2 linked regions of the Rattus norvegicus genome follow. The protein of the gene in region 1 purifies or fractionates together with the protein of each later gene. This does not show direct contact. Links are inferred from orthologs where the notes say so. Each region holds a gene or a part of one and is shown in the gene's direction. Other genes may lie near its edges.

Region 1 (5,074 bases):
CGCCCGCCTCTTCCTGCCACAACTCATTGGCAGAACCAGTCATCTGCCAGCCCTGTCCCAAGGGGCGTGGCAGGGACCATGCACTCTGTGCTGTGAGGGAGAGACTCAGAAGAGTTTTGTTTCCTGTGTGTGTGGTATATGTGCGCGTCAGATGTGTGTGGAAGCTGGCTGGAGGATAGCCTCAGGTCTCATGCCTCGGGAGCTGTCCACTTTGGGGTGCTGTTTACTACTGCATTTGCTTGTGTACATACGTGTTTGTTTGTGTGTAAGTACACATAGCCCAGTGCACATGTAAAGGTCAGACGACAGCTTGCAAGAGTGCGCACTCTCCCTTCATTGGGCCCAGGTGATTAAACTCAGGCCTGCAGGGGTGATGGCCATCTTGCCAGCCCTCCACCTTGCGTTTTGAGACAGGATTTCTCACTGGCCTGAGCTCACTAGGTAGGCTAGGTGGGCTTTGAGCCTTGGGGGTCCTTCTCTCTCCAGCTCTGTAAGATGCTCTTACAAGGGCATCTTTCCTCATGGTTTTTTGTTTGTTTGTTTGTTTGTTTTTTTCTTTTACATAAACCAGACCCAAACTTGGGTTTTGCACAGAGCATTAATGACTGCAACTGATAGAAAATGAAAAGACACTGTGTCTGGTGGTTTCCATCTGCTCCAACACTGCAAGATGAACAGAGGTAGAGTTGGTGAGTTCTAGGCCAGCCTGGACGACAGAGTGAGAGCCTTCTCAGAGAAATGGAAAGTAAAGGGCCATCCAGCATTTTATCTTCCCTTCAGTTGTCTGCTCCAGTGGGTGTGGTCAGGGCAGGATGCACCAACGGCCTCATGCCTCATCCAGAAGGAGAATTGAACGAGGTCACAGAGCAGCGGGTGTGGGGTTGTAATGGGTATCTCTGTGGGGATTATTACTGTGCAGTGCGAGGCTTCATTCTGATGCTGGGATGAGACCGGGTCCTCATTAGCACGTGCTCCACCACTGAGCTGCACCCCAGCATCGGAGCTATCTGGAGTCACCTCTCTTCGTTCACATCAGCTCTGGGTGCCCAGATTGAATCCACTGTATACAGAAAATACTTGGGTGAGGCAGATGTCCTGCTATTTCCCTGTAATCCCATCCACTCTGCAGTCTGAAGCAGGAGGATTGCAAGTTCAAGGACAGCTGAGCAACTGAGAGATAACTGCCTCACACTAAAAAGTAAGAGGCAGTCTAGACTTGTAGCTTGGGTCCACATGCACAAGGCCAAAATGGCCGATTCGGAGAGAGCCTTGTACCTATGCTGACCATGGACAGAATCTTGTGTTGTTACTCTTCAGACAATACAGCGGAAGAAGAGTTTGCATAGCTTTAAATGTGTACAGCAGATTCCACTGTACGGGAGGAGCTGCAGCTCTGTGGACAAGCGCCAGCCAAGCAGGGGCGATGAAAGCCTCAGCAGAACGCAAACGCAACACAACGTTATATAGGCCGCAATGTGCTGGAGGTGTCCTGGCTCCCTGTGCTTGGGAGCCTGAGTCACGTGATCAGACACGGTGGGGTTCGGTGGTGGAGCACTTGACTAGCACCAGGCCCCTGGGTTAAGAAACATTGCTTCGCAAAATAGAACCATGTTGGTTGATGTCGATACCATGTGGTGGTGATGGATGGCACCCAAGGCTGGTACTCAGAGAGTGAAGCCCGATTCCCTTTCGCAGGTCTCCCGGCCAAGTCCCCACTTCTGGCTGCTCATGCCACTGGGACTGGGGCGAAGGAAAAAAGCACCACCTCTGGTGGAAAATGAGGAGGCGGAGCCAAGCCGGAGTGGGCTGGGCGTCGGGGAGCCCGGGCCCCTGGGTGGAAGTGGAGCAGGGGAATCCCAGATGGGTTTGCCCCCACCTCCTGCTTCCCTCCGGCCTCGCCTCGTGTTCCATACCCAGCTGGCCCACGGCAGCCCCACGGGCCGCATCGAGGGCTTCACTAATGTCAAGGAGCTGTACGGCAAGATCGCTGAGGCCTTCCGACTACCGGCTGCTGAGGTACCAGTGGGACCACGGTCCCTTAAGAGCAAGCCACAGGCCTGGGCATGTATTCCTGTGAGCTGGGGCTCGTGTTCCTTGCTGGCCAGCAGCCCCTGAACCTAGGAGGCGTGGCTACAGGAGGATACTGAGTTCCTATGAGGCCTTGAGAGACTTGTACCCTAGTAGGTATGGGGGGGGTTTCCCAACGGGCCTTACGAGGCTCGTAATCTAGTAAATTGTGGGTCTGCAGATACTGATTTCCCATCAGGTCTGAAGTAGCCTGTGTCCTGGAGGATGACAGCCACAGGTGGCAGCTGGGTTTCCAAGGCATTGGGAAGCTTGTGCCCCAAATACTGTGGGACCTCAAGAGGGGGAGGGAGGGTGTTAGGAGCAGCTTCTATTTCTCCAGGGTGCCCTGGAGGCATGACTCCAAGCTAGAAGCTGAGAAGCCACTGGGAGGGCAACAGTGGGACTGAGATTCAAGTGGAGATGGGTAGGAAGGCTGGGTGGGAGTCTAGACCCCCTTCACCCCTCAGTAAGTATCGAGTGATCTCTGTATGTCAAGCTAGCTCTTGAGCTTTTACCAGGACAGAAATCCTGCTCATAGCATTTGATGTGCCAGTGGACCTCTCCTTGGCTTTGGGTGTTACCAGTCCCTGGGATAGGGGACCCAGGGAGGAAGGATGAGCATCTTGCCCCACCTCTGCAGGTGATGTTCTGTACCCTCAACACCCATAAAGTGGATATGGACAAGCTGCTGGGGGGCCAGATCGGGCTGGAGGACTTCATCTTTGCCCATGTCAAGGGGCAGCGCAAAGAGGTGGAAGTATTCAAGTCTGAGGATGCTCTGGGGCTCACCATCACCGACAACGGGGCCGGCTATGCCTTCATTAAGGTGCCCGGGTGGGTGGCACACCCTTAGTCAGTGGCCAGGGTCTTTAATGGGACCTAGAGTGGAGCTTCCAGGGTTGATGCCTGCCCCTCCACAGCGCATCAAGGAAGGCAGTGTGATTGACCACATCCAGCTCATCAGCGTGGGTGACATGATTGAAGCCATCAACGGGCAGAGCCTGCTGGGCTGTCGGCATTATGAGGTTGCCAGGCTCCTCAAAGAGCTGCCCCGAGGCCGCACCTTCACCCTCAAACTCACCGAACCTCGGAAGGCGTTTGGTGAGCCATTCTTGCAACCTGGACCACCCACCGGGCTGACCTTGAGCTCTTAAGAAATACAGATTGTAGTCCTGGGAACCACCAGCAGGTGGCACTCAAGCCTGCAGTGCAGAGTGGGGGCAGCCCCACCCTACCCTAGAACTGAGTGCTGGCTGACAGCCCAGCCAGAAGGAAGTCGCCCCCACACCCGACTTCCAGGAGCCATTAGCCCAGCCGAGTGCCCCCAACCCTGGCCAGCCCCCTCAGCCTGGAGAAGTGAGGCTTGGCTGCCTTGTATGGCTCCTGTGCCCGGCGCCCCCCCCCCCCCCCCGTTTCTACCTGGCTTCACTAACTCTCAGGAATGGGCCTGAGGCACCCCTGATGTGGGTAGAAAGGGCTTATCTGAGACTCAGCAGTTACACTCACCCTTCTCAACCCTCACTCCTTCAAATAGAAGCTACCTTCCATTCTCTCTCCAGCTGCTTTTATGTCTGGCCCCTAGCTGCCCCTCACCATCCATGCAAAGTCCTGCCTTGCTGGAACCCAGTCCCTACCCAAGGAGCCTGCAGAACTTTGAAGGTGGTGGGAGGTGGTTGTGTGAAGCCTGCGTACTGTGTTACCGTGGGCTGATTTTCCCCACTACCTTTGCCTTCTACAGATATGATCAGCCAGCGTTCATCAGGTGGTCACCCTGGCTCAGGCCCACAACTGGGCACTGGCCGAGGGACCCTCCGGCTCCGATCCCGGGGCCCTGCCACAGTGGAGGATCTGGTGAGTGAGCCCCCCGGGCCGGTGACACCATTCTAATTATGTGAAAGGCTCAGGACACCTCTCTCTGCCTAAGCCTACTCTTACCAGCTCTGGGACCTACGGTGGTCCATCGGGCAGCCTGGGGTCTCCTCCCTGTCCAGTAGGTTCAGTGACTTCTTGTCAGAGCAGACATTAGCGATGTAAACAAAAAGGGCTGCCAGCACGGAATTTCTGGCAGGAGGATTTCACATTCGCTCAAACCGTAAGACCTTGTCACCAGGTTCTTATATGAAAATAGATGAAAGGCAGCCCAGTGTAGATACGTACCCATAATCCTCTCCAGGCTACTGGATAGGAGTTAAGTGTTCAAAGCCAGTTTGGGCAACTTAGAATATGTCTGGGTATGAGAATGGTAATTTCTGGATGTTGGGACTGAAGAGATGGGCTTAGCAGTTTATAGGAGGTGTGGCTCTTGCAGACCACACAGGTCAGTTCCAAGTGCCCATGACGGGTGGCCATCTCTTAACTCCAGTCCAGAGGTCCAGTGTTCTCTTCTGACCTCCACAGACACCAGGCAGACACATAGGACACACAGATATGTGCAGACAAAAGGATCCTCTACATTAAATAAGTAACAGCGGCAGCCACACCAGTGGGTGCATGCAGCTCACCACTGGAGCTGATGCCTGCATGCTGTCCCCAGCACTGACATCTGTTGACATTACTGTACTGTCTTGTCCCCACCCTCTACAGCCGTCAGCTTTTGAGGAAAAGGCCATTGAAAAGGTGGATGACTTGCTAGAGAGCTACATGGGGATCAGAGACACAGAGCTGGGTGAGTGGGGCACCCGTGCCTGGAAGGTGGGAGCAGGCTTCCAGGTCCCACCCAGGCGGAGTTGAGCTACATCGTGCCTCCGTCTTTCTCCTCCCTGACAGCTGCCACGATGGTGGAGCTGGGGAAAGACAAAAGGAACCCAGACGAACTGGCAGAAGCTCTGGATGAACGGCTCGGTGACTTCGCATTCCCAGATGAATTCGTCTTTGATGTCTGGGGAGCCATCGGGGATGCCAAGGTTGGCCGCTACTAAGACTGGGACTGAACCTGGACCTTGAGATAACCTGGCTTTGCCCAGCTGGGGTTTCCAGAAACCACAGCCAAGACCTGGGCTGACAGCTT
Region 2 (4,155 bases), on another chromosome or scaffold:
AATACATAAGTAGTTGACATGAGGTATAACCCTTCTACCCTGGCATCATGTTTGGGTCAACACCTGGTGTCATGTGCCCAGCATCATGGAGAGAACCTCAAGAACTGGGACCTGCTTCTGCCGCTGGTCTCCCTCTGGTCTCTGTCTAAGGGGCTCTGGACTTAGCCAATCAGCATCTGTCAATGTGTCCTGTCACCAGCACAACAGACACACTTGGCCAGCTTGAGTCAAGCCTTCCCATGGCTGGAAATACCACTCACCTTCCCCTACTGCCTCTGGGAAGAGTATCAGTCCGGCCCTGGTTCATAGGCGGGTGGCTCTTATAAGGACACTGGCCATGGTGGCCTGCCACTGTGACCTTACCATTGTTCATGTTATATCCCAAAAGCCCTGTAAGGCTCCTCTTGCACATGCACAGTGCTGGGCAGGGGGCCTGTACGCTCCACAGGCCTTAGAACTCTTAGGCAAAAGAGCATCATCAACAGGTTGACTGTCCCCCAGAGCCAAGCCATCCCTGGCCTCATGCTGCATTTCATCTTCCCAGGCTTTGCTGAAAATGGACTGTCAGGGCCTGGTGGTCAGACTCATCCAGGACTTTGTGCTCCTGACCACAGCCGTCGAAGTGGCACAGCGCTGGAGGGAACTGGCCGAGAAGCTAGCCAAGGTCTCCAAGCAACAGATGGATGCCTATGAGTCTCCTCACCGAGACAGGAATGGGGTGGTAGACAGTGAGGTGAGTGGGGCTCCAACCCCTTGGTTACTTTCCTTGCCCCTCAGTCTATCCTAGGACCAATGGGATACAACAGTAAAATATCTACTTCATAGCACTCTGGCAGGGCAGGCTGAGGTGAAGTGAGTTTGCCCAATACGGCGGGAGCCGTAAGCCTGTCTTCAGAGCCTGGTGTAGAGGGATCAGGGCTGCTCTGCCACCATCTGGGAAGTGCGCGCTGCCCTCTCTTACTAATTTTACTTTTAAATGACCTCCTGTAAGATCAATGAGTATATTAACAGAGCCCTGGGGGGTCCACTCTATTGGCTGAATCCCTGCTATGTTACCTAACTTAGACAAAGGTGGGTGTGCTGAAGTCATGCCCATGCCCGACACTACCTGTTTGTGGAGGTGACCCTGGAAAGCTGATTCAGACTCACCAGACAGGGAAGCAGCAAGTCCTGAGCATGAGTGTGTGCTTCCTTTGCATGGGCACTTTCTGATACACGGCTCAGGTGAAAGCGGTGCTATAAGGCAGGAGAAGTCCATCCTGTGACTCAGACACAGGAGGACACCACCCTTCCCCCAGTGCAGGCCATAGCAGCTCCCCCTGCTGCTGTTACAGGAGTGACTGAGGGACCTCACCATCCTGACTTTTCTCTCTTCCTTTTTCCATGTTTCTGCTCCCCGAATCACCCAGGCCATGTGGAAACCCGCCTATGACTTTTTACTCACCTGGAGCCACCAGATTGGGGACAGCTACCGAGATGTCATCCAAGAGCTGCACATAGGCCTGGACAAGATGAAGAACCCCATCACCAGGCGCTGGAAGCACCTCACGGGGACACTGATCCTGGTGAACTCACTGGACATCCTGAGGGCAGCTGCCTTCAGCCCCGCGGACCATGATGACTTTGTGATCTGAGCAGGGCCCCTGCCCTACTGCTCACCAGGGCTGGGGCTCCACCCAGTAGTACTGGGACTCCTCCTACTACTGCTGAGACTCCGCCCACTAGTGCTGGGACTCCGCCTACCAGGGCTGAGACTCCACCCATCATCTGTCCACAGGGGGCGCCCATGCCATCACCCGGTGGTGCAGGGAGGGATGGCCGCTCAGGTCCAGGCCCATCTACCAGCCATGCCCAGGAGGGACTGAGGACTTTGACTCTCTTCCCCTCCCCTTTATCCAGGGGCAGGTCCCAGGGGGCTTTCTACTTCCAGTTGCCAATTGTGTTGCTTTCTATATGTTGAAATGTACTTTAAATTTAAAATCACTTTTTTTAACAGAAGACTTAGAGAGAACGTGAGAAAGGCGGTATCTAATTTTTTAATGGACTGTAAAGGTTATTTAAAAAAAATCCACCTTAGTAAAAGCAAATGCTGTTGAGGTCTATGTGTTCTTTAAAGGCCTTTGTAAATTATGTCCCAGGTGTATATGGATATGTTAAGGCCATGGGTGTTTTCTGAGTCCCAGACATATCTTGCATTTTGACATTCAAAGTGGGAACGATACTGGCTTCATGCAGACATGTTCCACTAGTCACCTGTGAGAAGGCAAGTTTGTGGGCCTGGTGGCTTTCAGTAGGTGGCCCTGAGGCTGCCCACCTTCCCTCCTTTCTTGCTGTCCTCAGCGGCCATCCACACAGCATGTTGCTCTGTGTGCTTCGGTGAACTGCAAAGTCCCTGCACGGTAGCTCGGTACCATTGAGATTCTTCCAACAAATAAGAAATCAGCTGGAGTTGGGGGTCCCTGTCACCCCTGTGTGTTTGGTTATTTGCAGTAACCAGTCTGAAGAACAATGCCCCGAGAGCAAGGTGGTCCCTGCCACTCTGGGCCATTGAATGCTGCCTCCCTCAGGGCAGTCCCACCTCTGCTATAGGTGGGAGGGACGCCCTAGCACCCAGCCAGAACCTGGTGGCCCCTGGCTCTTCCCAAGTCCACCACGGTCACCTGGTGACTTTTCAGGTGACATCACATGCTGGCATGTAGAGGTGTCATCTGCCATTGCCAAACTCCATACCTGATCTCTCACGTTTAACCTCCTCCTTCCTGGTGCGCCCACATCTCCTTAGGATAACAGTACAAGGGGATAGTGTAGTTGTATAAATGTTAGCAGGGGGAACGTTTTCCCTGAGTGATGCTCTCTGGAAAGCTGGGAGCTTGCAGACGATTATATTGAACATCAAGGTGATGTTGACTTCCAGGCTCACACAGAAGCCGTGGCATTTGTGGAGGAAACAGAGAGTAGAACACATACCAGAAAGACCAGCAGTTAAGTGACCCTGGTAATGGGAAAAACTCGAGCTGTCTGTTTACAGGGCCAGTTCCAGACCCGCCATCTGCTTTGCAAGCGCGGGCTGATGACCGGTGTACAGCCTCCGCACTGAGCTGAAATGTCTATAGCTTCTGAAGCGGCACCTGCAGACCCCGACTCAGAAGTAAACAGTGGGCATTAGTGCTGCAAGAACGAAGTCACAGGACCCCCTGGTCACCGCAGTAACGAAGGCCTGTCACGCTGTACCTTCATTTTGTCCAGAGAGCATCTCTTTTGGCCTTTTTCCCCCAAAGAAGAAACAAAACCAGTCGCACCTTAAACCATGGATATTTTTCCTCAGGGGCTTTGAATAGTTTCCTATGCAACAAGTCTTGTAGCACAAATTAAATTCTACAAAAGTTGCGGTAAATTTTATTTGGATATTTGAACTGGTTAGTGTGTGTGTGCGTGCGTGTGTGTGTGTGTGTGTGTGTGTGTGTGTGTGTGTGTGTGTGTGTCTTTCTGTGCCCAGCCAGACTTTAAATAAAACCTAGCATAAAGTCAGTCAGCGAATAGGTTCCTGTCAGTCACTCTGACAGTGTGGCAGTTAATATATAGGGGACGTTTTCTCTAGCTGTTAACTTAATTGTTCCTGAGTGGGTAGTGTAATCATTCATGACAACCAGGTAGGCGTCAGTGTTACCCAGGGCACCCAAATGAAGGAGGCAGATGTCTCCTTGTTCCTGGTTCCTACCACCAGGTAGGAACTGGTACCATCATCCCCCTTCACAGAGTACAAGACCCAGCCGTTTCTGAGTGTGCTTGGCATCTCTGGGGCCTGCTGAAAGCAGCAAGCAATGGAGGCCTTGCCCTGGTTACACTTCCCGTTGTCAGGAAAAGTGGAGCAAGGAGTGAGTGTAGGCACTGGTCCTGGGGACCAAACCCAGCTAGAGGTAGTGGGGAGGAGCTGGGCTCATCAAGAGTCTGTCTGAGAGGGTGTCTTCAATTGGACAGCTCAGGACAGGCCAATTAGTCCTGGACATCAACCCCTGGTTTAGTCCAGATAAACCTGTTCTCGATTTAGGATGATTTGATAAGTTTTTGCCTATTTGGTAGTTGAAGGCCAAGTCCCAGCTGGACCAAAAACAGGCCAGACCTGGGAACTGTGTCTATAGGGTTGACACATGGGTA

What was found.
Region 2: the proteins of Gipc1 (region 1) and Sh3bp4 purify together in Homo sapiens (affinity purification with mass spectrometry; 4 studies listed by BioGRID and IntAct, with this or other methods). This does not show direct contact. The link is inferred for Rattus norvegicus from reciprocal best matches to the Homo sapiens genes GIPC1 and SH3BP4.

What each region holds. Positions count from the first base shown.
Region 1 is NC_086037.1:41,380,559-41,385,632, reverse strand, and holds the start of Gipc1 (PDZ domain-containing protein GIPC1), read left to right. Parts: upstream 1-1,690; 5' UTR 1,691-1,728; coding exon 1,729-2,016; intron 2,017-2,707; coding exon 2,708-2,893; intron 2,894-2,987; coding exon 2,988-3,168; intron 3,169-3,805; coding exon 3,806-3,918; intron 3,919-4,650; coding exon 4,651-4,732; intron 4,733-4,833; coding exon 4,834-4,985; 3' UTR 4,986-5,074. UniProt on the Homo sapiens protein: May be involved in G protein-linked signaling.
Region 2 is NC_086027.1:97,183,485-97,187,639, forward strand, and holds the end of Sh3bp4 (SH3 domain-binding protein 4), read left to right. Parts: intron 1-544; coding exon 545-733; intron 734-1,409; coding exon 1,410-1,634; 3' UTR 1,635-3,394; downstream 3,395-4,155. UniProt on the Homo sapiens protein: May function in transferrin receptor internalization at the plasma membrane through a cargo-specific control of clathrin-mediated endocytosis.